Rattus norvegicus: one gene and its partners. The protein of the gene in region 1 interacts with the protein of each later gene in a pairwise test. Links are inferred from orthologs where the notes say so. Each region holds a gene or a part of one and is shown on either strand. Other genes may lie near its edges. The genes, in order: Creb3, Vkorc1, Slc35c2, Stx8, Tmem51, Tmem234 and Aqp5.

The links.
Region 2: the proteins of Creb3 (region 1) and Vkorc1 interact in a two-hybrid assay, tested with the Homo sapiens proteins (2 studies listed by BioGRID and IntAct). The two-hybrid records come from large-scale screens. The link is inferred for Rattus norvegicus from reciprocal best matches to the Homo sapiens genes CREB3 and VKORC1.
Region 3: the proteins of Creb3 (region 1) and Slc35c2 interact in a two-hybrid assay, tested with the Homo sapiens proteins (2 studies listed by BioGRID and IntAct). The link is inferred for Rattus norvegicus from reciprocal best matches to the Homo sapiens genes CREB3 and SLC35H1.
Region 4: the proteins of Creb3 (region 1) and Stx8 interact in a two-hybrid assay, tested with the Homo sapiens proteins (3 studies listed by BioGRID and IntAct). The two-hybrid records come from large-scale screens. The link is inferred for Rattus norvegicus from reciprocal best matches to the Homo sapiens genes CREB3 and STX8.
Region 5: the proteins of Creb3 (region 1) and Tmem51 interact in a two-hybrid assay, tested with the Homo sapiens proteins (2 studies listed by BioGRID and IntAct). The two-hybrid records come from large-scale screens. The link is inferred for Rattus norvegicus from reciprocal best matches to the Homo sapiens genes CREB3 and TMEM51.
Region 6: the proteins of Creb3 (region 1) and Tmem234 interact in a two-hybrid assay, tested with the Homo sapiens proteins (2 studies listed by BioGRID and IntAct). The two-hybrid records come from large-scale screens. The link is inferred for Rattus norvegicus from reciprocal best matches to the Homo sapiens genes CREB3 and TMEM234.
Region 7: the proteins of Creb3 (region 1) and Aqp5 interact in a two-hybrid assay, tested with the Homo sapiens proteins (2 studies listed by BioGRID and IntAct). The two-hybrid records come from large-scale screens. The link is inferred for Rattus norvegicus from reciprocal best matches to the Homo sapiens genes CREB3 and AQP5.

What each region holds. Positions count from the first base shown.
Region 1 is NC_086023.1:62,612,229-62,616,451, reverse strand, and holds the start of Creb3 (cyclic AMP-responsive element-binding protein 3), read right to left. Parts: upstream 2,801-4,223; 5' UTR 2,644-2,800; coding exon 2,467-2,643; intron 2,382-2,466; coding exon 2,225-2,381; intron 2,151-2,224; coding exon 2,080-2,150; intron 1,975-2,079; coding exon 1,885-1,974; intron 1-1,884. UniProt on the Homo sapiens protein: Endoplasmic reticulum (ER)-bound sequence-specific transcription factor that directly binds DNA and activates transcription. Plays a role in the unfolded protein response (UPR), promoting cell survival versus ER stress-induced apoptotic cell death.
Region 2 is NC_086019.1:191,932,691-191,936,900, reverse strand, and holds Vkorc1 (vitamin K epoxide reductase complex subunit 1), read left to right. Parts: upstream 1-1,410; 5' UTR 1,411-1,432; coding exon 1,433-1,605; intron 1,606-2,541; coding exon 2,542-2,651; intron 2,652-3,495; coding exon 3,496-3,698; 3' UTR 3,699-3,932; downstream 3,933-4,210.
Region 3 is NC_086021.1:174,439,983-174,444,135, reverse strand, and holds the start of Slc35c2 (solute carrier family 35 member C2), read left to right. Parts: upstream 1-1,353; 5' UTR 1,354-1,425; exon of another isoform or gene 1,426-2,178; intron 2,179-2,227; exon of another isoform or gene 2,228-2,730; intron 2,731-2,916; exon of another isoform or gene 2,917-3,007; intron 3,008-3,260; exon of another isoform or gene 3,261-4,153.
Region 4 is NC_086028.1:53,168,172-53,171,671, reverse strand, and holds part of Stx8 (syntaxin-8), read right to left. Parts: intron 724-3,500; coding exon 613-723; intron 1-612. UniProt on the Homo sapiens protein: Vesicle trafficking protein that functions in the early secretory pathway, possibly by mediating retrograde transport from cis-Golgi membranes to the ER.
Region 5 is NC_086023.1:159,611,129-159,613,891, reverse strand, and holds part of Tmem51 (transmembrane protein 51), read left to right. Parts: coding exon 1-277; intron 278-2,763.
Region 6 is NC_086023.1:147,225,688-147,229,754, forward strand, and holds the start of Tmem234 (transmembrane protein 234 precursor), read left to right. Parts: upstream 1-1,267; 5' UTR 1,268-1,303; coding exon 1,304-1,319; intron 1,320-1,579; coding exon 1,580-1,731; intron 1,732-2,910; coding exon 2,911-2,977; intron 2,978-4,067. Other genes in the region: Eif3i (eukaryotic translation initiation factor 3 subunit I), read right to left, coding at 998-1,090, 1,183-1,185.
Region 7 is NC_086025.1:132,600,106-132,604,327, forward strand, and holds the start of Aqp5 (aquaporin-5), read left to right. Parts: upstream 1-1,422; 5' UTR 1,423-1,530; coding exon 1,531-1,893; intron 1,894-2,926; coding exon 2,927-3,091; intron 3,092-3,511; coding exon 3,512-3,595; intron 3,596-4,222. UniProt on the Homo sapiens protein: Aquaporins form homotetrameric transmembrane channels, with each monomer independently mediating water transport across the plasma membrane along its osmotic gradient. Plays an important role in fluid secretion in salivary glands.

The DNA of each region.
Region 1 (4,223 bases):
GGTGTGTTGGATGGCAGCTAACCTTCCCAATGAAATTCTCTCCACAGCTTTTCTGCCAATAGGCATTCACCTTCTGTGTGGACATCTCCACAGGACACGTGTCCAGCACTTAAAAGCCAGAGTTTTCTTATTTTTATGTGTATAGGTGTTTTGCCTGCATGTCTGTATAATGTATATGTATAATGTGTGTGCCTGGTGCCCACACAGGCTAGAGGACAATGACAGATCTCCTGGGACTGAAGTTACAGATAATTGTGAGCTGCCATGTGGGTGCTGGGACTGGAACTCACGCCCCACGGAAGAGCAGAAAGTGCTCTAAACCACTAAGCCATCTTTACAGCTGCCAATTAATTTAAAAAGTTCCTCCTAAGCTAGGTGTGGTTGTACATGCCTGTAATATCGGCACTTGGGAGGAAGAGGAAGGAGGTCAGGATTTCAAGACCATCCTTGGTTAGGGTAGTTTTCAGGACAGACTGAGTGAACTACAGAAGACTATGTCTCAGAACTAACAACTACCACCATCCTTATCCTAAACCCACATCAATCTTCTAGTTTCCACCCATTGGATTTTCCTAGGCTCTCTAGAATGATATAGAACATCTTTATCTTAAGTACTTTAAACTCTTTTTTTTTCAGAAATTAAAACTGAATAAAGTTAACTCTCATAGTCTCTGATAATGCTTGTCAAACCTGGACAGTAGCCAGGAGTGATGTCATACACTTGTAATCTGGTCCTAGGAAGCTAGAAGCAGGAGAACCAGGAATTCAAAGGCATTCTTTACCTACGACACAGTGTGAGGCCAGCCCAGCCTGGGCTTACAAGACCCTGCCTTACAAACCAGGGCTGGAGGGCGTAGCCAGTGGTAGAGCACTTGGTGAGTATTCCAGAGGTGCTATATTCCAATCCCAGGGGTAGGAGAATTATGGTATGCTTTGGCCAGTGTAAAGGAGGACAAGACAGTTACTGTCCTAGGGACGGAGCCACTATTGATAATTCCAAAACTCCATTTTCTTTCCTATTAACTACTATACTGCTCATTCATCTCGTAATGGCAGGAGAGGGATAGGAGAGGGTTTATCATGTGGGCCAGGCTTGCTTAAACTCAACATGAAGCGAAGTCTGGCCTTTAACTCCTGATCCACCTGTCCCAAATAAGTCAGTACATACATAACAAAAGAAGTAAGACAATAAAAGGGGCACAAAAACTAGATGCAGTATGCTTTCACTTGGGAAGTGACCTTGAGCGTGGGAGGACCTTCCTGCCTCTGCCTCTAGGGTTATGGCAGTGTGAGCCCCTCAAGTCCAGCTTTGTTACAACTTTGTTACAGCTTTGTAACAACTATTGTTGTTAGACTGCTTCAGCCTCTCCAGCATATCTACTCTACCACTGAGCAAAAGGCGAAGTCCCAAGATAGCAACGAAATCTGTCAAGGCCATCATTTGAAGGCCCTTTCAAGGCTCTGTTCTAAAGTTACTCTACATTTAAAAAATTATCTTGGGGCTGGGGATTTAGCTCAGTGGTAGAGTGCTTACCTAGGAAGCGCAAGGCCCTGGGTTCGGTCCCCAGCTCCGAAAAAAAGAACAAAAAAAAAAAATTATCTTTTGTACATGGGGGTCTCTCCTTCCATCACGTGGGTCCTGGGAGTTAAGCAAGGCCTTTTCCTACAAAGCCATACACTGATAATTTTGAAAGGAACGCCAAAATGTATATCAGCGCCACAAGACCAGGATCTACCCTGGTATCTGCTCGTCCCAGGTTCCCACTATCAGCTTCCATTCTGACCTCAGTCCTTTTGTAAGTGATCGATATGAAATAAACTGAGTTTGCCTACTTGGGTTATACAATCCCCCTCCAGCTTTTGCTCTACTACCAGAAGCCTTACCTTAGTGAGAGGAAGTGTTGAGGGCAGAGTGAGCCCCTCCTTCTCCAAAAGCCTTTTCTCTTCCTCCGTCAGTATCAGTGTAGAAAGTTCCTAAGGTTGGAGGAAGAGAGCAGAGTTGCATGGTGATGTCAGAGCAGTATGGGGGATTCTTGGCCGCTGCAAAGTGAGGTAATCCTGAAACACCAAGCCCAGTACCTGCTCTGCTGCTGTCTCCTCCACACGCAATGGATTCATGCGGAACCCCTCCTTTTCAAAGCTCCCAGGATCTGCAAAAGCGAAAGTAGGGCTAGCAAGTTCAGTGAGCTCTCTCTTTCCCCATAACTTAACATTTCACACTCACCTAGATCTATGGAGACGTGCTCCTGTGGAAGGGAATAGTTGTGATCATGGAGAATAGAAGAACTAGAAGAGTTGAGAACATCCGGCGATGACGAGGGACTGAGCAGAGAGCTCAGTAAATCCTCTACCTCCCAGTCGCTCAATTCTTGCACGGAGTTCTAACAAAATCAAAGGCCTTGTTTTATCTCTGTACCTTGGGTCTCAGGGACATCGCTAGCTTCCCCACTCAGAACACCCACCCACCTCGGAAGGCGACAGCTCCAAGTCCAGGGGAGTCTCTATGTCCTGCTCAGTCGCAGCCCACAAATCTCCACTTTCCTCTAGCAGGAAGCCCAGCAGGTCCTGATCACCAGGATCCAAAGCTAGCAGGTCCTGATCACCAGGATCCAAAGCTAGCAGGTCCTGACCACCAGGATCCATTTGGAATATTTATGGATAGAAACTCCTCTGCGCAGATCCAATCTCCGAACCTTAGGCACGACCCCTCAGTCTGTCAAGTCGCATCGACTTAACCTTAGTCACTCCCGGACCAGGGCCTAGCTGTTACTCTATATGCCACACCCGCCTCTCAGCTTCTATTCCCCTCAGCGTCCAACATAACGGAAGTGATGCACATAGTCCCGTGGAATCCTGGGACTTGGAGTTCCCTCCAACTCGGAAGTGGCTTGTGTAGTGCGCCACGTCCCAGGGGCTATGCAAATTATGGGGATGTCCCTTCAGCTTCCCACGCCCCAGGGCGGGGATTCTGAGGATCCGGATCCGCCTTCGCCGCGAGCTATTAAAAAAACCCTAAGAGTCTAAAAGGGAACTCCCGTTTAGTTCGGGCGTTCTCTCCAGTGCTCTGCACCCTCGCTTCCTGCCGGGGAGGGGCGGCCAGGCTTCGCGGGAGCCCGAGCATCGAGAGCTGCGGCCAGAGCAGCTTCCTGCAGTCTCTGCGACCATAGAGCGGACCGCCGGCGGGTGGGGGACGTTTCCAGGACGGAAGTGGACGAGAGTGTGTCGAAGGGAGGGCGAGGCCGGAGCCCCAAAGCGACCGGGAGAACGAGCGGGTAGCGGGCCCAGGGCGGGGCGCAGAGCTGGGCAGCGCAGGTAGGCCGGACGGGCTGGGCTGAGGTTCTAGGTGGGGCTGCGGGATCAGGCCGGCCCGGGAAGCGGCGGGCGGGGCCCCCAATCCTCTTGCATATCCTGTGTCCGGTTGGGGAGGTCAGGGTACAGTACGTTTCAGTTTAGGTTTGAAATTAAGCCAGCCGTGTTGCGAGAGACAGGCCCTTTTCGCGGGAGTAGACAGTTCTCTGTCTCGGATAGTTTTTGGGACGGGTAGAAATGGGGTGGCAGTGAGGCATTGGGCGGGGATGGGCTTTGGTGTTAGCCGATAGTGAGTATGTGGTTAGGAAAACTTTGGGTGAGTTTGAGTTAGGTGCGTCGGGTTTAGGAAGCAAGGATCCCATTAGAAGTTAAGAAGCTGGACTACATTTTAAACATGCATGAGTCAAGTCTCTTTCGTGTTTGTGACATTTAAACTGAGGTCATTATTTTCTGGAATGACCAGCATAAGTCAGTGTACAGGATCGGGTTAAGGATCAACAACAGGAATTGGCTTAGAAGCTCGTTTCAGGGATTAAAGGCCATTGTCATGGTCAGTATTAAGAATAAACAGTGAGAAGGTGAATTAAGAATCAAGGTAGAAATGAGCTTTAGGACTGGGGAGAGGGGCAGTATTTAGGGTTAAAGTTAGGGGATTTGGGCCTAAAAATAAAAGCCAGATTAGTATGGTTGTGTGCTAGGAAAGGGGTAAGTGTCAAAATATAGGGAATTAGGATACAAAATAAAGTCAGGATTAATGTTAGGAATTAGTGATAGCATCAGAGTCAAGGCTGCAGCTACAGCTGAACAGGTAAAATGTAAGAAGTTGGGCAGCAAGTAGCTGCCTTTGTTTTGTAGTGAGCTCTCTTATTCCTGTGTGATCACAGAGGCTCCTTTTATCCAAAGAGATGACAGAG
Region 2 (4,210 bases), on another chromosome or scaffold:
TGGGCTTCTGAGTCTCATCTGAGCAGGAACACGGCATCCACCACACTCTCTGAAGTAGAAGTAGAAGACCTGAGAAAGAGCAGCCATGGAGGGAGGGCAGTCATCCATAAAGAAAGAGTTCCTTAAAGCAGCAACTGATATCACTTGGAGGTCAAACCACCGCATGACTCTAAAAATAAACATTGGACCTGATGTCCAGGTCACACTTGCAACTAGGTGTCAAGGAGATGTTCAAGGGCAGCTAGTTTATTATGTAAGTATCAAGACAGAAGTAAAGAAGACTGAAAAATGTAAAATCTTTCCAAAACTTGCCTGTGAAGGGTTAAGATTTAAGGTCAGTAGGGGAGGGGGTTGGTGAAGGAACTCCATGCAAATGGGAAGGATGGAGAGTCAGAGAACTCAGAACTGACAGGTCCTCAGTAGGTAGGATACTTGTAATGGGAGATAATATAAGAGGGATTGTTGGGTTGATCCAGGCTCAGGTTTTGCCAAGAGGGCACCACACGGTACCGAGGTCTGGGAAATCACAAAATGTGGCCTAGATAACAGAATTCATTCTGAGAGTGAGGGTGCCTCCGACCACAAGGGGCGCTAGTGAGACACAAGGGATAGCTGGCGGTGACCTGGAAACAGGTTATAGCCAAATAGCATCTGAAGTAATTTCAAGGGAAATGCTTCCTGAGTAGCATCCCAGCTTTCGCTGAATTCCACTAGTCCATTGGTCTGTAGATTCTAGACATGCCGAATGCATACAACAGGACTTGGCATAAAAAAATGTGCAAAGCTGGTCTGGGGAGGTAGTTTAGCAGCAAAGAGCACTGACTGCGCTTCCAGAAGGCCTGAGTTCAATTCCAGCAACTTCACACGATGGCTCAAAACCATTTGTAACGGGACCCAGTGCCCTCTTCTGGTATGTCTGAAGATAGCTACTGTTTGTATCTGTGTTTGTGTAGCGTGCGTGTGTGTGTGTGTGTGTAAAATAAAAAAATTTAATGCACTAAGCTGTGCACCGTCGTGTTAATACTATCTTTACAACACTACATACTCGGGGTTGGGGATTTAGCTCAGTGGTAGAGCGCTTGCCTAGGAAGCGCAAGGCCCTGGGTTCCGTCCCCAGCTCCGAAGGAAAAAAAAAAAAAAAAAAAAAAAGAACCAACAACACTACATACTCAAATTTCCCTTAATGTCTTGCAGCCTCTCCAACTACAATTCCCATCATGCCCGGCAGTTGTTGTATCAATGATTACCCCACATTCCTTAATCCTGTTTACCAGCCCAGCATTCCTAGCTGTCACGCCTAAGAATAACCAATTGAATTGGAGAATGCCAGCGGAGGCTTGTCAACCTTCCGGTCGGAGGGGCGTGGTCACATCAGACCACGCCCTGCCCCGTGGCGGGTTCTTCCCTCTTGTGTCTGCGCTGTACTGTCGACATGGGCACCACCTGGAGGAGCCCTGGACGTTTGCGGCTTGCACTATGCCTCGCTGGCCTAGCCCTCTCACTGTACGCACTGCACGTGAAGGCGGCGCGCGCCCGCAATGAGGATTACCGCGCGCTCTGCGACGTGGGCACGGCCATCAGCTGTTCCCGCGTCTTCTCCTCTCGGTGCGTGCAGAAATGAAAAGCATGGGTTTCTTGAAAACCAGTGTACCTGACGGCCAGGTTGCCAGATGATTTTGGAGTCTGGGGTCGCAGTGTCCGCAGAATAGACACTTTAAGAGCGGACTGCCCCCCACGAGTTTTTATGGGTAATCGGACGTGCACACGGGCTGGACCACTCAGAGATAATGGTATTTGAACGCTTTCTGAGGACGCCAGTGAATAACTGTGATTGGAAGATTGGCGGAGGCAGGGCAGTATAGCGAATAGAGACAGAGGGTGATTGGGATGGCACAAAGCGGGAGGAGGTGGTGGAGCTTTGACCGTGCTGAGAGACAAAGTGCTCACTCTGGGTTTTGTAGGAGGACCGAATGTCAGTGGGTGGCGAGAACTGTAGCTTTGTGGGCCCAAAGCAAATAGATTTCCCAGTTGTGGTCACCGTAAAGTGAAATCAAGCTGGAAAAAAATTTAACCTTATATTTATTTGTTTGTGAGGTGGCACATGCATGCCACTACATACATGTGGAAGTCAAAATAACTTTCGGGAGCTGATTCTCTTCTACTTTATGGGTCGCAGAGATTTAATCCAGTCGACAGGTTTGGCAGCAGGCACTTATTTGCTGAGCCCTCGCACCAACTCCTGAAAAGTTATTGATGGCCTGTGATGACAGGCCAGTAAGAGTAGGGGACAAGGGGGTTGGGGATTTAGCTCAGCGGTAGAGCACTTGCCTAGCAAGCGCAAGGCCCTGGGTGCAAGGCCCTGGGTTCGGTCCCCAGCTCCGAAAAAAAGAAAAGAAAAAAAAAAAAAAAGAGTAGGGGACAAGGTGGCCGACCTTTGGATTCTTGGTGGGTGGAGCTTCTTGCTAATCACTTTTTTTTAGAAAAAAAAGCTCCGGAGGCACCAGGCTGACTGCACTTACCTGGTTCTTTCACTTCCACCAGGTGGGGCCGGGGCTTTGGGCTGGTGGAGCACGTGTTAGGAGCTGACAGCATCCTCAACCAATCCAACAGCATATTTGGTTGCATGTTCTACACCATACAGCTGTTGTTAGGTGAGTGGCTTTGCCCCCTCATGACCTGTCCTCTGAAATCCAGACCAACCCCACCTCATGTCTTGGTGACCCAGACAGTTGACAGCCAGCTGCTAATTACTGAGCAATTTCCTCACAAGGAGAACACTTAGCAGGAGTATCCAAGTTGCTTTAGGTTTAGGTAGCCAGAGGCTTGAAGGGCCCTCAAAATTTCCCACAATCTCAGTTTTATGGCAAAGACTCAATTCTTTTTTCTTTTTGTTTAGTTTTTGGTTGTTATTGTTGTGTTTTGGTTTTTCTTCTCTCTCTTTCTCCTTTTTTTTTCTCCCCCAAGACAGGGTTTCTCTGTGTAACCGTGGCTGTCCTGGAAGTTACTGTGTAAGCCAGGCTGGCCTTGAACTCAGAAATTTGCCTGCCTCTGCCAACGAGTGCTAGAATTAAAGCTTTGGGCCACACCTAGTGAGTTTTGTTCTTTTTGAGACATGGTCTCTCTACATAACCCTGGTTGTCCTAGAACTCATTAAATAAAATCAGTCTGGCCTGGAACTTGCAGAGATCCTCCTGCCTTTGCTTCTTGAGTGCTGGGACTGTACACAACCGTACTCAGTTGGTGGGTTTTGTTTTGTTTTTGGAGACATTCCAGGTTGACCTTGAACTTCCTTTTGAGAGGACTCCAATAGGAACTCGTGTTTCATCTTACGTAGTTTAGCAAGAGAATTCACTCTGGGTCCCAAGAATTATTGAACAGATGAGGCCCATCAGATCCTGTGTTAGAGCACTTTCACCAGAAGCACCTGCTGCCTGTCATTGGGGAGGTGTTACAGAGTTCCAGGTATACCATTACTGACCCTCTCTTGTTTTACAGGTTGCTTGAGGGGACGTTGGGCCTCTATCCTACTGATCCTGAGTTCCCTGGTGTCTGTCGCTGGTTCTCTGTACCTGGCCTGGATCCTGTTCTTTGTCCTGTATGATTTCTGCATTGTTTGCATCACCACCTATGCCATCAATGCGGGCCTGATGTTGCTTAGCTTCCAGAAGGTGCCAGAACACAAGGTCAAAAAGCCCTGAGGTCCCACCTCATGCCAGGCTGACATGACTTGCTTTGCCTTAGCACATGAGCCTTGCCCAAGTGTATCGTGTGTGGGTCCCTAAAAGGCCCTATCACCCTCATTCAAACACCCCTCTATAACCACACACAGAAAAATGACCAAATGTGCCTCTAGGTTCTGTCCCCATTGGGCTGCTTTCTGCTATTGGTCAAAGAGAAGGATTTTGAACAATAAATTTTTCTATGTTGGTCAAGTCTGAAGCATATGTCTGCCAGGGACCCTTCGGGGTGTTGGTCTTTCCGTGTTACTGCCTTCTCTGGAACTGGGATGAGTCAGAATGGAGGGCCTGCCCGGAAGGGGAGCTGCATCATCTCTAGCATGTGTAGTCAGCAAAACCTGACACATCAGCCCCCACGTCCAGGAAACAAGCTTGCGCCTGCTGCCTACAGATCAGACCCTGTCGTAGGAGGGCCTGCTACACACCTGGAGGGCAAACTGGGTTGGAACTTCTTACTATGGTAGAGCTCAAAC
Region 3 (4,153 bases), on another chromosome or scaffold:
GGGGCTTCCTGTCAGTCACAGTGTTTTCAATAAATACTCTTTCATGTAGACTGGTTCCTGTCAACACCTCTTCCTCTACACTTGTTCCCTGCCCCAAGGGTAGGGAGCCACCTGGCGGTCTTCACTTCAGTGTGCCTGGGAGCGTCTGGAGAGCTCCAGCCACCTTCCAAGAGCATCTCCCTCTCCCCTGGTTGATCCTGCTCTGTCACGCACAGACTACTCACACCTGCTGGCTGAGGATGCTCACAGACTGTGGTACAGGACAGAGCGTTTCCTGCTCAGCCCTGCTGGGTACAACGTGGAAAGGCATACTGTACACCCCCAAGAACCCATCCTCCCTTTTTTCCCTGCCAGGGACACAGCCAGGGAACAGATCAAGTACTTGTGCCTTTCAAAGAAGACATGTTCTGCACCCCGTGTGTTGCCTGCGCTCAGTACCCAGCCTTCCAGCTGGTGCTTTAAGCTGTTGCTCCTACCAGCAGCCTCGGTAGCGGGGAGGTTTGAATGAGAGCAGTGATGAAAATAGATACTTCCTCTTGCCGCTGTCAGAAGGGGGGGGGGGGTGAGGACAGGCGCTTTCAGAAGGCATAGAAAGTGCATGCAACACAGGCCTTGAGCACTGAATGAAGCCAGGACCTTGGGCTGCAATGGGCACCACTGTAGGTCTTAGGAAGCATTGAATAAACTAAAGCTTTCGTGGTGCCAGCTGGCAGCAGCCTGCAGCAGCAGTGCGCACAAAGCACAGCTTACACTCTGGCCTTGAGCCTTCTGCTAGGAGCCAGGAGCCCAGCCAAGTCATGTGCAAGAATCTCTGTTTGCAGCCAGTCCTAGTAGAGCCCGGATGAGCAGAAGCCCAGAAGTGGGCCAGCTCGGGTTTGCAGCCCTAGCTTGCTTGGCTTAAGAGATTATCTTGCTCACGTACCCTGTTCCTAAAATGAATCAAATCCAGGTATGCTAAATTGTTCTGAGGCCACCTGTCTTCCTGGGCTCCCAGTAAGACTAGATCCTTCTCATCCACTTCCTTTCGGGTTCCATTTCCTCTGGGATGAACTTCCCGTACTCAGCTTATTGAATAATTCTCACAAAAGTATAGGCACATGTAATTTCACAAAGTGTCCATTATTACTTTGCCAAGATCTTTTACCTCTAAAATTTAATGGTTGTCAAATCATTATCCTAGCTGCTTGAGGTCCCAAAAGAAAAAGGCCCGCTACAGAGTTATTAGTATCTGTGATTCGTTCCTGGTGCTCGCTTAGGGGAAAACTACAGAGGCACTGTTAGAAAGCTTGCTGTGGCCGCCTTAGTTGAGGGAGTTGTTCTGGCTCCGCCCACCCCCACCGGCTTCCGGCGGAAGTCTCGCTTCCAGCGGGACAGTGCCCATCTCGAGTTTCCGGCAGGAATCTCCCGGCGAGAACCTGGGTGGAGGTAAGTGGGCGTGCGGTGGGCGGTCCCCTGCATTCTGGCCCGGCCTCAGTTTCCCCAGCCTTCCTCTGGCTCTGTGCCCGTTCGCCTGGCATTCGCTAAATTCTTACGAGGGGCCGGGTCTGGGGGATGGGGTTATCCAGATGGACACTGCTGAGCAGGCGCGGCAGGGACACGTGAGCAAACACATTCGTCACGCGGTGGGAAGTGCCACGCGCAGTGGGGGCCCTGGGGAAGGGGACAGACGCAGAGAGCATCAGGTTGCCAAGGAGGACACCGGCTGATGTGCTGGGCACACGGCCGTATGTGGGGTTGCAGCTGACAGGCAGGATCCTGGGAGGGCTTGTGGACCCAGCCCAGGGATCTCCAGTCTATAGAAATCGGCAATCTTAGTTTCTTTCCCTGATGCAACTTAAGGAAGGAAGGGCTTATTTTCCCCCATAGTTCCTTGTGCTGTCCATCGTGAGGAAGTCAGGGCAGTAAGTGCTTGAAGCAGCTGGTCACATTTCCATGGTCCTGAAGCCGGGAACCTTGAGAGCCATCAGTGTTTGCTAGTGTCCCTCTCCCTACTTTTATGGAGTCCAGGAGTCCCTGCCCACAACAGCATGGGTCTCCCCATATCAGTTAACCTGGTCAAGAGAACCCCTTTCTGGTATGCTCTGAGGCCCATTTCCCAGGTGATCCTAGATGCTGTCAGGTTGACCTCACTAACCACCGACCAGTCTCTGGCTCTTTCTGGACGGCAGGCAAGTGCAGGTGAATGGAAACTGTAGCGTATAGTCTGTGGTGGTGGGAGAAGTGAAGAGAAGTAGATAGGTCCATGAATAACCAGAGGTGGACTGGACAGGGCAGGAGATGAGGAACGCTGGGAGACAGAAATGGCTTCATTGATCACTGCCTTGGGCCTAAGTAAACAGTTGTTAGGGTGGCTATTTCTAAGAGATTTGAGAGTCAGATGGAGACCTGAGGAATATTAAGATAGGTTCTCGAGGTACCCTGAGGTTGAGCTGTCTGTGGGCCGGGTTCCTCTGCCTTCACAGAGAGCTTGGGGTGGTCTTGGTGGGCTGGGAATGAAGGCGGCAAAGAGGCCGGATCCCAGCCCTCGGGCACCAGTGCTTACTGGCTGAGTTAGAGAGGGGTCTGGTCAGACAGCTTTACAGAAAGCAGAAGACTCCAGAGACTGTGGTAAGCTACACCCACTAGGTCTCTGAGGAGGAAGCTGTCAGTTTCATGAGAGGAGCCACAGAAACCTGGGCTCTGACCAGGTGACAGGGAAAGAGTAACTGCCTGAGTGAACAGCCTGGTAAGGTAAGGGAGGTAAGGGGGTGGGCTGACTTTGGGAAGCTTTGTGACGGAATGATTCTTACCACGGGCCAGTGTCAAGTGCTGCTAGTGACGCCCCTGCCCCAAAACCGCACAGCTAGAGAAACTGAGTCAGAGCAGGCCAGATAACGCAGTCTCCGTTGTCGGTGACACAGACGGGTTTTCTCACAGGTCTTTGAAGCACTAAGCTGTACAGCCACATTCCGCTGAGGAGCTAGAGGGCAGCCAGGTGTTACAGCATCGTTGCCCACCCTGCTCTGAGGTAGGCACGGTTTCTTGGGGAAAGGGACGCCCGCTGAATTCCTTGCTTGGGTTGATGTGATTAGAAACCCGCTCTCCCTTACCATCGAGGGAGGATGAGGCCCTTAGGGGTTTTACATTTTGTCTAGCCAGTGTGAGGCAAATCACTGCTTAGTGAGGACGCACAGAGTGAATGTCTGCTTCCTGGGGTCCTTTCTGGCTGAGCTCTGTCTTTGCGTATGGGGATAGGTGACTTTCTGCATGGTGTCCCACAGAAGTGGGGAGCTCGAGAAGCTCTCTGAAGGAAAGGTGAGGCTTGAACAGTAGACAAATGGCAGTACATTGACCAAGGAGGAAGTGGTCAGAAGTAGTCAGGTTAGTAAGTTGAGAGAAAGGGGAACAGGATACCCTGGCATGTAGTGTGCCCCACGACTGCCTGGGAATGGGAGGCGGTGGTTCTCAGGGAGCACGGTGTGGGCTGTTCTGGAGTGTTGGAGACTCAACCCAGACCCTCCACATGCTAGACCAGCACTACAAAGTAATTTCTGGGCACGGCCTGGGTTGTTACAACTTGGGGTGGGGGACATGAAACTCGTGGCATCTGCTGGGTAGAAACGGATTTGTTAACGGATTGCCGCGTAGAAGACTGGCCTCTCCCAGAAAGATTCAGTAGTCTCAGGCTACAGAGCCCCAAGCATTGAGGGAATGGGAACCTCGAGGTCTGTTTGAGGAAGCTTTAACCCTGGGTCCCCAACTGTTTAACTGTATCAACGGGAGCCTGAGATCAGAGGTGAGATCAGGTGAACAGGTCTGGTTAGCAGTTGGATCTGCCTCTGGAGTTCATGGTGACCAGAACTGGCTGCATGCTGGGGAGATGTGAGCCTACAGAAAGTATATCAAGATATAAGGCTGCCTTACGCACGTGGGGCAAGGCCTCCTCGTTGGACCCATCATGGCTTTAATCATGGCCTGTTTATTAACCCGGAAGTCAGTGCCCAAACTGTAGGGTGAAATAAGACATACTTCGCTCTGTTCGTTTCTGCGGTGCTGGAGTTGCAGTGAGAATTCTTCTTGCTGTAGAATCCACGAGAGTGAGCCCACCATGAGGGGAAGCTCACAGCCACCACGCCAGCAGCTCCAGAGCTGTGAGCACTGTTGCCGTCAGTGA
Region 4 (3,500 bases), on another chromosome or scaffold:
TCACTCAGTGCCAGAGCCCTGGAGAGGAGAGCAGTCTCTCTTCTGAACTTGTTTGCTTCTGTGATATTCCCAACCATGAACTTAAGGTCCAGAATCGGGGAGAGGCCGATGCTAAAGGTGTAACAATTTATCCTTCATTAGCCCCAGCAATGGAGGCTGTGTTCAGGGCAGCTGTTAGCTATATGCACTGCCCATCACAGGCTGGCAAAGAACCTGGGGAAGAAAGCCGACAAGGAAGCCCCTCCCTCTATGGCTTTGTCCTAGCCTCACCAGGACACAATTTTCAATAGGCCAACTTCAGGAGTTTACCAGGCAGAAAACTCAAAGAAGGCAAAAGAAAACTTCGAGCTGTATTCTCCATGAGTATGCCCCACCTAACAAGAGCTTAAGCTGAACACACCAGGCTTATGAAATCCGGGGAATTAATGAAAACTAAAGGCAGAAGGAAAATACAATCAGATGCTATAAACAAGCAGACTTTGTACAGAATAGAAACTCACTGCTAGAGCTCTGAAGAGGAGAGTAGCTTCTCTTCTGAACTCGTTTCCTCCTGTCGTGACGGCGCCTGAGTCCTCAGGGGCCTGGGTGTCCCTGTAAATGAAAGCATCGTACCTGATCAAATCCGGCTCGGAACCCTCATTCTTAAACGATGCCAGGAGCAGTCTCTCTCGGGTGACAAGATCATCCAGAAGGTTCTGTCTTCGATCCCCCTCCAGTTGTGTTCTGTGGTCAGTTGTTAAGGTCCAACAGTGGGTGGCTTAGCTCATTTCCCTAAGGCTTTATTAACCCAAGTCACCTGCAGCCATTACAGGCTCCACCTACTGCTACCCAGAATCCTTCAGGTAAATGACCCTGACTGTACCACTGCAAATGGATAATGCAGACACTGACAGAGATCACTATTAGAGTCCTATCACTAAAGAGTATACCACGTAAAAGCTGGTTTGCCTGTCTATTTCTTTTGCCAGTGAACAGTCTACAAGGGCAAGCTGGAGCCTTAGGCTTAAGCTTCAGGTGTTAGCTTTCAAGGGTGTCTGCTAACTTATCAATGCCCTAAGATAGGGCCGGGATGACTCCTAGCAGTGCAAAAACAAACTCAAAACACCCTTCCCACAAAGCCTAAGGTTTGGAAAGGGGGAGGTGTCTCCCGTGAACGTAATAGTTCAGATGGAAGCTTCGTGAAAGTTGTTTTTGTGCATCAATGTGCTGTGAAAGATGTTTCTGTCAGCTCAGTAGTTAGAAGTACTATAGATCTTTGTGGGAAACCACAAACAAGTCGACATGTTATTCTAGTAAATGTGGCAGACTTGGAACCTAAAGGCAGAGCTTCACCTGTCGAGACAGATGCTTCTTTATTGTTGGTGTGGGGGGGGTGGGGAGAGGGGTTCATGTCACAGTGCATGTAAAGGTCAGAGGACAACTTTGTGGGGTCTGTTCTCTCCTTTTTCACCCTTCCATTGACTCCTGGAATCCTCCTCAGAGCTTCAGGCCTGCAGGACAGGTGTTACTGACTGAGGTGATCACCAGTCATGGCTGTTTCTTTATATGGAACTCCAGAACACTTACATCTTTCCGTAGGTTTTGTGGTACTAGGACTTATCTCCAGAGCCATTGGATTTACTGCCAAGCCACACCCTCAGTCCTTAAACCCAAAGTTCCTTTTTTGTTTGTCTTTCTGAGACCCAGTTTACTATGTAGCCCAAGCTGGTCTCCCACTCCCGATCACCTCCCTGAGTGTACGCACTAGCTTTCTTGAAACAAAACAATAGATGTTAAGTTCTGTGGGTTCACCGGAACAGAGCTGAAGAGGGGCACAGTGAGTGAGCTGCCGCCCTGCAAGCCTGAGGCCTTGAGTTTGGATTCGGGACAGCTCTGGGAAGCAGACCTGGCAGGGTTCACCTGAAGCCGCAGAACTGGTGGGAAGGGGGAATGGAGACTGGCAGACCCCAGGCAACTCTCTGCCAGCCCAAATCCATGAACTTGGGTTTCACCAAGAGACCTCTCTCAAAAGAATGAAGTGTGAAGAGACTGAGGAAGATGCTGCACATGGACCTCCAGTCTCCACATCTGTGTGTGTATAACCACATGTTCACACACACTCAAAACAGTAAAAGAAATGTTGAAGAAAACTCCATCAAGGACAGGACATGGGAAGTAAACAAACAGATTTAAGAAAAAAATCTTGTGTCTGACATCAAATAGAAAAAGAAAAACAAACAAGGGGTATCTGGCTTTGATTTTTTTTTTTTTTTTTACCGAATGGCGGTTTCATCAGATCTGAAGGCTGGCAATGAGAAGCAGGGCTGGCCACTAATACCAGTTCTGGCAACAACAGTAAGCATGAAAGATGGCTGCTTCGGGTTACAGATCCTTTTCTTTGTAAAAAAACAGATCATAAGGGGCTGGCGAAATGGTTTAGCAAGGAAGGTGCTTGCCACCAAGCCTGAGGACCTCAGTTTGAGTCCCAGAACCCGTATGGTAGAAGAGAACTGACTCCCTCGAGGCCTCAATCTGCCACATGCACACCACAGGATGAGTGTGTACATTCACAAATACATAAGTCTAAAGGGGTCATAAAACATTGTGTTCAGGCCCCAAAGTTTCTGAGAACTCAGCAGAACCTAGGATTAGCATCACTACTGCCTGGGAGGGAAATCCACGGCTCAGGGATCTACGAGTTCTGCTGTTAATTTTGTACAGAGAAGTGTTGGCTAGCTAGTAGGAACAGTAAACAAACCCCGGCAAAAAAAAAAAAAAGTTTCCCTCAATAACAGAGTTATTAGAAAAATCATAAATCTCCTAAGCCTGAGTCTTTGCACCATAGTTACTCTACATATTAAAAAATAATAACAATAAATGGCTTCTCTCAACATTCCAGCATGCCACATGTCCCTGGGTCCAGTCACCCCCATCACTTTTCCATCTCCTGCTGACAGCAGTTACCAAGCACCCCAGCTTGGAAACCATGGTGTTGCAACTGTAACTAAGAAACAGAACCCCACATATTCTTATTCTTATTCTTATTATTCTTTAATAAAAAGGCCAAATATTCATCTTCTGATCAGTGCCAACCAAGAACAAGTATCTATCTATGTCTTTCAAATTAATGATAAACTGCCAATAAAGCAGAGAGCTCTTATTCGATTTAAGCAGTGTTCCTTGGTGATGGGGCAGGGAGAAAACAGAAGCTGTGAAAAGAATTACACAGAACAAGGCCAAACGGAAACTCTACGTTGTGGGGCTGTTAGTTATGTCCCAGTATCAGCTAGCCTTCCCTACATGTTCTGCCCGCCTACTGTGCAGACCTGACGTTCTGTAGAGGTCTTATTAATCAGCCTCCCAAGCAAACATACACTGGACACTCGCTGAACAAAACTCCAGGGTTAAAATTATATAAAAATCCAAATGGCCCTGGAACTTAAAACATTAAAAGACAAAATTGTATCACTATTATTAGGAGAATGCATAGGATGTTTTAATAATCTTGAATGAAAAAAATC
Region 5 (2,763 bases), about 97 Mb from region 1:
TGGTCCTCGGGGTTATCATGGCCATGTGGAACCTGGTTCCTGGTTTCAGCCCTGCGGATAAGCCAACGGCTCAGGGCAACAAGACAGAGGGAGGTGGTGGCATCCTCAAGAGCAAGACTTTTTCAGTGGCCTACGTGCTGGTCGGGGCCGGCGTGATGTTGCTGCTGCTATCCATCTGCCTGAGCATCCGGGACAAGAGGAAGCTGCGGCAGAGTGAGGAGCTGGCCAGAATTCAGCAGCAGGCAGGAGCCGTGCCCCCCTCCCAAGAGGAAGACAGGTAAGATCCAAGTGACTGCTCCCTCCACCCTAGGGTAGGGACACACTTGCGCACGGGATGGTGGAGAGAGCACTTTACTCCCCGAGTCTGTATTTCCACTCTCCTAAAGGAAGGTGCCTCATATTTTTACAAACAGCCTTGTGCTTACTAGATGCAGGCTTCTAGGTGGATAATATGGTGTAGCACAGAAACTGGTGGGGCCTAGGGTCCCAGCGCTCTGTTGTTTGTCTCTCTGTCCCAGGTGCTGTGTGTGTCTACTTTGATTTTAGAAGGTCAAGGCACAATTATTTTGCTTGGTCAGAAATATCACGAACATATTTAAATGATAGACGATAGATAGGGCCTATGTAATAAAAGTTTGGCGTCTCTTTTAGACACATTTCTGTTGCTGTGCTCAAAGCACTCTGACAAACGCAACTTAAGGGAGAAAGGATCTATTTAGCTCACAATTGCAGGTCTGTCATTTTGGGAGAGTCAAGAAGAGAGAGGGATGAGTTAATGTATGCAGACAGCCCTGCACTCAGTTCTGGGTCTCTCTCTCTCTCTTTTTTAAATATTTATTTATTATATATAAGTACACTGTAGCTGTCTTCAGATACACCAGAAGAGGTTATCTGATCTCATTACAGATGGTTATGAGCCACTATGTGGTTGCTGGGATTTGAACTCATGACCTCTGGAAGAGCAGTCAGTGCTCTTAACCACTGAGCCATCTCTTTGGCCCTGGGTCTCCTTTTCATCCAGTCATGAAATGCTGCCACCCAATTCAGGGTGTACCTTCCCACCTCCATTGACATAGTCAACACCACCACGCCCTGCACACACAGCCTCAGGCGTTCTCAGAGGCCTGTCTCCCAAGCCATGCTAAATCGGTGTTTCTCAACATGTGGATCGATATCCCTTGGGCAAATCTCCATTTTCAAAAATATTTATATTGTGATTCATAACAGCAGCAAAGTTGCAGTTATGAAGTAGCAATGGGAATATGGCTGGGGCGTCACCGTAACATGAAGAACAGTGCTGAAGGGTTGCAGCATTAGGAAGGTTGAGAACCACTGTTCTAGCCAGTGCAAGCTAAGGAGCATAGGCACTCAGCACAGCATCCATACTAGGTGTTCTTCTCGCTGCTCTGACCAAATACACAGAGTTGGCTTAAGGACAGAGGCTTTATTCCGTCTCTCAGTTTGAGGCTAGGGTCCATTGTGGACAGGAAGGTGCGGCCGCAGGAGCCTGGGGTGGCTGGTTACATCATGTGGGAACTCAGGAAGCAGAAAGAAATGAATGTTGATTTTCAGGTCCCTGTCTTCTTCTTCCGCTTCATCCAGACCCAGCCCATAAATGGTGTTGCTCACATTTAAGTCAGGGTGGATCTACCATACACAGTTAAACCTCCCTGGAAACTCCCCTGGTCTCCATATGCATGGCTTTGACCTTGATGGGGCCACAGGGAATGAACACGTGACAACCACAAGTAAATCTGGGACTGAGTGGGTCATGCACACTCTAATGGAGAGGCACCAGCCACAGCCAGGAAATTCACCACCTTAGGGGGGTCTCTGTGGAGGAAGTAGCCTTAAGCTGCAGCCATGGGGAGGAAACTGCAGTCAGTACTTTCTGCTCCTACTGGTCAACCGTAGACCAGGGAAAAGGCCTTGCCATTCCCGAGTCTGGGACATTGGCATTCTTGACACGGTCCTATTCATGTGAACAGTGCACATTGACACAGGGCTTCATCTACTCCCAGTGACCCTCACAGACATCCCAGAGACGTGTCTCCTAGGTGATGCCTAATCTCAAGATGACGATGAGGATGAACCCCTCCCTCCATCATAAAAGAGCCCCGTGAATCGACACAAAAGATGTGCATACTGGTCAGAAGATAGAGAGAGGTGACAAGCAATGGTTTCATAGCTGTTCCACCTCATTAATCCTGGCGTACAAATAAAAAGACACTTTGTGGGGTTGGGGATTTGGCTCAGTGGTAGAGCGCTTGCCTAGGAAGCGCAAGGTCCTGGGTTCGGTCCCCAGCCCCGAAAAAAAAGAAAAAGAAAAAAAAAGACACTTTGTCCTCCCAGGCCCCTCTCTCACCTACGTCAGCCAAGACAGGAAGGTTCTAGCATCAGAGAATTAGAAGGACAGTATTCCATGAACATTATGGGGACAGCAAAATGGTTCGATGGGTAAAAGAGCCTGCTGCCAAGCCTGACCACCTAAGTTTGACCTCAGGAACCCACATGAAGCTCACCTCCCACCTCCATGTGTGCACCATGACACAAGCACGTGGGTGGGCATGCACAAATAAAAGACAGGTAGATAGATTGGCGATTCCCCCAGACATGGCTGACCTGCGTTCCTTAATGCAGAGCAATCCCCACATCACTGAGAATGAGACATTATAGTGGTATAGCCTTTAGAAGGCTCCAGAATGTGAGACACTGTGGGTGGGCTCGAGAGGGACAGCGGCAGACAGACAGGGACCATGGTAC
Region 6 (4,067 bases), about 85 Mb from region 1:
GGGTTCTCCTCCGTTCCTAACATAAGCGGCAGAAGAGCCAGGCCTGCCACAGCACCCTCATACGCTTTTGTCTGGATTCAGGAGTCCAAGACAAGATTGAGTTCCAGCCTAAAAAAATCTTTCAGGTCCTGTTCAGCTGACTACAGATGACAGTAAGGACGCATGGGCTCTGGTGCTTTGTCACTAGCTCACCCTGTCATCTTAAATACAGGGCTTCTTTCCTTTAAATGGCTATGAGAGCTGAAGAGATGGCTCAGAGCTTAAAGAATACTGGCTGCTCTTCCAGACGACATGGGTTCGATTCCCAACACCCACACGATACCAACAATCTGTAGCTGCAGTTTCAGGGGATCTTCTGGCCTTCTCAGGTACCAGACGCACACATGCAGGAAAGCACCCATACACATAAAATAAAATGATTACACACACACAAAATATATATAATTTTTTTTTTAAAGCACTGGGAGGAGCTGTACGTGGTAGCACACATTTGTATTCCTAAGACCAGGAGGCTGAGGCAGGAAGATGGAGAGGTTCAGGCCAGCTTGGATAGATACCCCACCCCTGTTAACAGCTTTCTTCAAAGGGCAGCTGTGACGCTCCAATAAAACCATGTCTATGAACCTTAAAATATAAGCGACTAACATACATGAGGTGCGGTGCAAAACTATTTAGAAGAATGACCTCACTTGCTGGGGGAGCTACTAAAAGCTTCCATGTTTTACTAAAAGGGAAAACTGTAGTTTAGAAGGGTTAAATTTCAATCTCTTAATTTTCTTCTCCCTGGGTACTCTTTCCTTTCATCCACCAACATCTTCCAGATTTTCCTGGCAGAATGCTGTCGCTACCCTACTCCGGTTATGGGTGGTTTTCCCTGCTTTTCAGAGAAATATCCCTCCGGCAGCAAACCTTGTTCACCTCACCCTCTGTCCCGGCGGCGCGAACTCGCTCCCCCCGGTGCCCCGCCCGGCCCTCCCGCCCTCGCGCAGTCGCTCACGGGGTCTTTGGCCACAGTGAAAAGGAGGTCTCCTTCGCGGTTGTACTTGATTTGCGTGATGGACCGCTCATGGCCCTGAAGCAGGATGGGCTTCTGTGAGGACAGAACCGGAGTGTCAGTGCCTGAAACCCTGTCCCAAGTCTACTGAGGACCCCCGACAGCAGCACAGCGTGCCTGGAACTCACCATCCTGGCGGTGACGCGAGGAGAGAGGCAATGTGAGTAGGACCGGAAGAAGACTGGGGCGACTTCCGGATGTGAGGACTCCGCCCTCTCGCTCCCGGAAGTAGAAGGGCCCGGCGTTTCCATGGCGGCATCCTTGGGTGGGTAGCTGGCCCCGCCCCTCTGCGGGCTCCGACTCTCCAACTCGGAGAATCTCTTCTCACTCCCCTGGCATCCCTGAATCGCAGGAATGCTAAACCACGCACCCTGGTCTCCCGGTCTCACTTCCGCCGTTTTGCCGGCCGGTCCTCCCGACCTATCGCTGCCCGGCGCGGAGAGCGCGGGAGGGAGATGGAGCCGGTCAGCCGGGCTGGAGGAAGCAGGAGAGGGCCGGGGTGACTTTCTGACCCTTTGCTTTCAGGGCAGGTGCTTGCTCTGGTGCTGGTGGCTGCACTATGGGGTGGCACGCAGCCACTGCTGAAGCGGGCCTCCTCCGGCTTGCAGCAGGTGCATGAGCGGACATGGGCCCGGCAGCTGGTGGGGGAGATGAAGGCTCTCTTCTTGAATACTGAGGTGCGTACGCTCGGGAGGAGCCGCTGAGTGTTTGGTCGCTGGTCGGCCAGATTCTCAGCCCACCTCCTACTCACTAGAAGCTCCTGGAAGCTCATTTATCCCCTGTGAGTCTCAGTTTCATCATCCGTAAAATGGAAATTTTAATGATAACCCATGTATAGGGCAGATAGAAGAATTGAGGTAAGACGCAAAACACTTAGCATTGGGCCTAGTACAGCGTACATGTTCAATCTATGACTTTTTTTTTTTTTTTTTTTTTGAGACTGTGTTTCTCAGTGTAGCCCTGACTATCCTGAACAGTCTAGCCTCGAACTCAGGGATCAGCCTGTCTCTGACTCCCGAGTGCTGGGATTAAAGGCGCTGCCACGGCCAGGCTCTTAATGTCATTGTCACCCTATCAATTATATAACGATTTGGAGCATTTCCAGAAGCTTTCTTTGCCCTGGAGTTGTACCTAAGGAAGGCTATAATGAACTGCCTACAAGCCATAGCTGCCGATGTAAGCTAGCTAGATATGCAGCACTCTGAGGGGTACAGATAAAGTACTGTGTGAACTCTGAGAGAGATGGGAGTTGGAGGACAGGGAGTGGGCTTCCTGGAAGGGGTGACACTGTCACTCAAGGAAAGATGGGAACTGGCCAGGACGAGGGAGAGGATATTTAAGGCAATAGAGTACATTGACTGTGTTTCTCTCTTTGCTCTAAAGAGTCCTCAAACACATGAGTGTGGGGTTAGGGATTTAGCTCAGTGGTAGACCGCTTGCTTAGCAAGCGCAAGGCCCTGGGTTCGGTCCTCAGCTCCGAAAAAAAAGAAAAAAGAAGAAAACAAACAAACAAACAAACAAAAACCCAACACATGAGTGTTCCCTGAGCATTTGTAGCCATCCCTCCCCCTGGGGGAATGGCATAAGCTAGAACCCGGGTTCTCAAACTGAGTAGTAACTGGAAAGGGGCCTAATACCAGATATCCCAAATGTCAGATATTTATATCACCGTTCATAAGTGTAGCAAAGTTACAGTTGTGAAATAACAATGAAAACAATTTTATGGTTGGGGGTCACCACAACATGAGGAACTGAATTAAAGGGTTGCAGCGTTAGGGTTGAGAACCACTGCTCTGGAGAACCGAGAAGACTGTTGCCCATGCAGGCAATCACTGACAGGTTTCTCCTCTTTCTAGTACCTGATGCCCTTTCTCCTTAATCAGAGTGGTTCCCTTCTCTACTACTTGACGTTGGCATCAACAGGTGGGTCTCTAGCTTGGGTCTTCTCTGGGGTGGAGGCCATATTTTTCAGGGAAACCTGAAACCCCTTGCACCTATTAGTGAGGGAGAGCACCTGTTTCTGGTCCTTCTGTGAGTCACAGGGGCAGTGAGGGGGATCAGTGAGAGGCCAGTCACTAAAGCTGGCCTGACAGTCTTGTGTAGCAGCAGAAGGAAAGTTCATTGTGGTCTCATAAGTGCTGACCTCTTGTTTGGGAGGGGGGGTTTTCTTGATACTTTTTCTGCTTGTGTGATGATTGTTTTAATTTTTTTGACTAGATTTATTTTGTGTGTGTATGTGTGTGTGCGCATGTGTTATAATGCGTGTTTGGTCAGAGGACAAGTTTTAGGAGTAGGTTCTCCTTTTATCTTGGAGATTCTAGTAATGAGCTGGGCTCATCAGTCTTGATGGCAAGAACCTTTACCACTGAGTGACCACACTGGCCCCTTTCAAATCGTGATCTTTGTATCTGTCTTCTAAATGCTGGGATTATAGGTGTTTACCAAACACCCATGTAAGTGATGTTCTGATTCCCCTCTACACTACCTGCCTGGCCTACAGTAAGTCCTTTATTTGAATCTTGGCTTTATATAGTGGGTTTCAGAGCACTGTGACGCCTCTAACCAACTCTGGCAGTCTGTTCTAATTTTCTGCTACTTCTCATTCTCTGGCTTGTTCTGTCTTCACTTGTCACCTGTCACCTGTCTCTGTAAAACTGTCCCAGTAAAGGGGCTGGAGAGAAGGCTCGGCAGTTAAGAGCACTGAGTGTTCTTCCAGAGGTCCCGAGTTCAATTCCCAGCAACCACATGGTGCCTCACAACCATCTGTAATGGGATCTTATGTGCTATCCTGTTATGCAGACAGAATGCTCATACATAAATAAGTTTAAAAAAAACTTGCCCCCTCCCATGCTCTCCCCTGTCCTGTCTGTTCTTGTGAGAGTTGGACATATCCTGTCTCTGACTCATTCTGTCATATTTTTCTCTGGTTAGTCACTTTGCCTGTCAATTAGACATCACTTTCATGGCTTTTGTCTACAAACTAACCTTACCTACATTGGTCAAAATTGCATAC
Region 7 (4,222 bases), on another chromosome or scaffold:
AATTGCCCTAGGAGGTTTTTAAAATTGACCAAGGCGGAGGTGACTCTCCTGGGCCTTGCTCTATGGGTGATACCATGCAAAGAGCTCAAGCACGAATTTTGGGGGGCAGAGGGTAGGCAGCTCCTTTTCTGGGATCCTGAGGGTGGATCCTTGCCCTGCCCCCAAACCCTGGAAAGCCCTCCAATCTCCTTTCACACATACCAAACCTGCAGAGGGAGGGTTGGGAGGACAAGAGGGAGCTGGAAACTATAAAAATGTGCTGCCCAGTACAAGAGTGGAAGGACTTGATGGGGTGGGGGTGGGGGCCAGAAAGACAAACTGTATGAGTGTCCGACGTAGGAATGGGAGATAGCCGGGCAGAAATAAAGACCCACAGGTTAAAAGAGACCAAGGAAAGAGCTAGAAACAGTAATGGACGGATTGACTGGGGGAAAAAAAGAAAGAAAAAGCAAAAACCAAGAGTCAGAGAGATGGAGGAACTCACGCACATGGAGAGAGAGAGAGAGAGAGAGAGAGAGAGAGAGAGAGAGAGAGAGAGAGAGAGAGAGAAGAAAGAACAAGGATAAAAAGCAAACAGCCACTCAAAGGTCTAAAGTGAGGGAGTTCTGGTGGGTTGGAAACAGAAGAGGCCAAGATCCTTCCCTCTGACACCAGTCTCAGGGCCACTTCCCTAAGCCCAAACAACCCAAATTGGTCAACACTCCGAGGTCCCCAAGGGCTCCCACTGAGAACGCCTCCTAGAGCCCGCTGCCTAGAGCCAACACTGCCACACGCGGCGTCGAGGATTGCCATTAGGCTGGCATTGCGCTCCCGACCCAACGCCCCCGCTCCCGCCGGGCTGGACCGGGGAGAGGCCCACAATGGCCGAACCGCCCCCGCCACGGGCGGATTGGGAGCTAAGAGGCGCTGTCCTCAGAGAATCGCATCACTCTGGCCGGGCCGAGGGTGAGACCGGGTCAAGATGCTCGGGTCGCGCGAGCCAGAGGAGGAGAAAGGGGGAAGGCTGCCGGTCGGCCCGGGACGCCGGTAAAGCCGGCCGGAGACGGACTTCCAGAGCTCTGTGGGAGCGGAGAGCCAGGACCGCGCTCAGCAGCCCGGGGAGTCCCGCACGCACGTCGGCCAGGAGGGCGCGGGAACAGCGCTGAGCGCACGATGCGCGCGACCCAGGCCGCGGGGCCGGTTTACACCGCCGCGTGGGTCACGTGGCCCGGGCGGGTCCGCCGCTGTGCGGCTGGGGGGCCCGGGGCGCGCGGAGCGGGGGGAGGCGAGCGCGCCCCGGCCAGGCTCGCGCCCTGCGCTCTGCGCTGGCCCCTGGGCGCGGGAGCCGCCCCCGGCCCCCCCGCGCTCTGCCCGCCGCGGGGCGCGCGCCCTCTATATAGCGCGCCCCTGCCCGGTCCGCGCCAGGTCACCTGCCACCGAGTGGGCACCGCACCGCGCGCAGAGCCCCGCAGACAGACGCCCGCCGCTACCAGCGCCGCCCCGACGGCCGCCCCGCAACCCTCCCGCTGCCACCGGGCCCCCAAGGCCACCATGAAAAAGGAGGTGTGCTCCCTTGCCTTCTTCAAGGCGGTGTTCGCAGAGTTCCTGGCCACCCTCATCTTCGTCTTCTTTGGCCTGGGCTCAGCACTCAAGTGGCCCTCGGCTCTGCCCACCATTCTGCAAATCTCAATTGCCTTTGGCCTGGCCATAGGTACCTTAGCCCAAGCTCTGGGACCTGTGAGTGGTGGCCACATCAATCCAGCCATTACTCTGGCCCTCTTAATAGGAAACCAGATCTCGCTGCTCCGAGCTGTCTTCTACGTGGCAGCCCAGCTGGTGGGCGCCATTGCTGGGGCAGGCATCCTGTACTGGCTGGCGCCACTCAATGCCCGGGGTAACCTGGCCGTCAATGCGGTGAGTGTCCACCAGACTGTGGAGGGATGGCCAGGGACGCTGGGGACATTTCAGACCAGATCCTCCATGCTTCCCCCTTCTTAAGAAAGGATAAAGGGTACAAGCCAAGCAACAGTGCACAACTATGCCGGTAAGAACAGGCTGACCAACCTCCTAGCCAAGCTCGGTGCTCCCTGGTCCTGGCTCCTTGGTCCTGGCTTCTCTTCACATTCTACCTCCTCTACCCTTCCCTCTTAGGCCGCTCTTCCTGGCCTAACTCCCCCTGGCCACCGAGACATCTCTTCAATTTCTAATCTCACCTGTGAGTTCTTTCTTGTCATCCCCTTGGTGGTGTCATTTTAACAGACCCACCAGAGAGCAAGGGGTAGTAGTAATCAGTCCCGGTCTAGAGCAACCGTGATCTCCCTGGGCTTCCAGTTTATTAGCCATTACGTGGAGGTGATTAGAGCACAGTGTCGTGGGGATTGCACTTGGAAGCCATGATGGGACACCGCCCCCAATACTGGCTCCCTCTTCTGTAATCCCTGTTCCTGCCTCCTGTTGTCTCCCCATTTTTGGAGCCCTAGATTCAGCCCCCTGTCCCATGTGAACTGGGCTCATTAATCAAACACAGAGGAGGATTTTCTCGGCCATTGTCAAGCTGTGAGTCAGCCACTGGAGAGACGGGTTTGAAGTTGGCACTGGCAGTGGGTCAGGCACGGATAGGAGGCCAGGGGCTGTTTGCAGTAGGCAAACTGGGCAGCTGCCCACAGGAGGGAGGGTAAATGCCAGCTCATGGGGGCTGGGGATTGGGCAGAGTCGTTGACATGATGGCACCCAGGAAAACTCGCTGACACCCTACCCTCCGGCTACAGGCCTGAGAGCTTCAAGCTTGTGCACACTGAAGTGCGGTTTCTCCAATAGCCCGTCTGGGTCATGCTCTTGGCTTCCAAGAGCTCAGGCTCTAGGTGTCCTTGAAGACCAGAGCCTCGCTTGTCTACCCCTGTCACAGAGCCTGAAGGCAGCAGGCTCCTAACCCAGCTCTTCCTTACAGCTGAACAACAACACAACGCCTGGCAAGGCCATGGTGGTGGAGTTAATCTTGACTTTCCAGCTAGCCCTCTGCATCTTCTCCTCCACCGACTCTCGCCGAACCAGCCCTGTGGGCTCCCCAGCCTTATCCATTGGCTTGTCTGTCACACTGGGCCATCTTGTGGGGGTGAGTAGTGCTGACACAAGCTGGGGTGTCGTGGAGTTGAACACCAGCTCCTCCAGATGGATAAGACCCAGCAGAGTTTAAGACCTGGTCTTGACTATCTAGGCTGTTGCCTTACTGGACCCTAGGTTTAATGTTGCCCACCCCCCCCAAAAAAAAACCCTCTCTGGACTGAGAAACTGAACGAGTGGAAGGAAGGGAGCATAGAGACTCAAGCTGAAGCAAAGGCTGAGAAGGCAGGGGATGTGTTTAGGAGTGTGTGGTGGGCAGCTGGGCTGCATGGACAGTCAGCATCCTAGAAACTGAGAAACCTGGATTTGAGATGTGGCTGGCCCCTGCACTGTATGACCCCCGAGAGAGTCAGAAATCTGTGGGAGTGGAAGGGATGGTGCCCTCCTCACCATGAACCCCCCATCTACCCAGATCTACTTCACCGGCTGTTCCATGAACCCAGCCCGATCTTTCGGCCCTGCGGTGGTCATGAACCGGTTCAGCCCCTCTCACTGGGTAAGTGTGGCCTTCCTCCCGCTCCTCATGGCAGGCAGCGTGCTGAACTGAAAGTCCTGAAGTGACTGAACTTTCTGGGTGTTTCGGCCCAGAACTTGGAGGTTGGAAAGAGAAGAGAACGCAGAAGGGGGTGACGCTCAGCCAGAGAAGGGTGGAATGAATCAACGAGTCTTCAGAAGTGCATTGGAGGGGGGGTCTGTGTTAATCTGAGGATTTCGTCTGCCCCTCCGTGTAGCTGTCCTCTAATGTTGTATTTATCTGTCCCTGTGGAGATATTGAGGCTTACTCTTCTGGGAGGGACTGTACCCCTAGACAGTGTTTCCATGTATCAGCAGCCTTGCTGGGCCCTGCACTTTGGAAGACACGTGTATTGGAGGTTCTGTCCATCTCTTCAGAAGGCACAGTTGCCTCCCTTTGGGGGTGAGATTGGGAATCCTGTCTCTCCTGGGCTCTGCCTGCCTCCGTGGAGGGTCCATGACTTTGTCATTAAGGACTGGCTAACAATATCAGTCCCCAAGATGGAAAGACACCTTTCCCTCTGAAGGTCTGAAATTGGTGTCCATTTCCTTTCAAGGTCCATGAGTTCTGTGTTCTGGTGGGGAAGAGCGTGGTCCCCGAGTCCTGGGG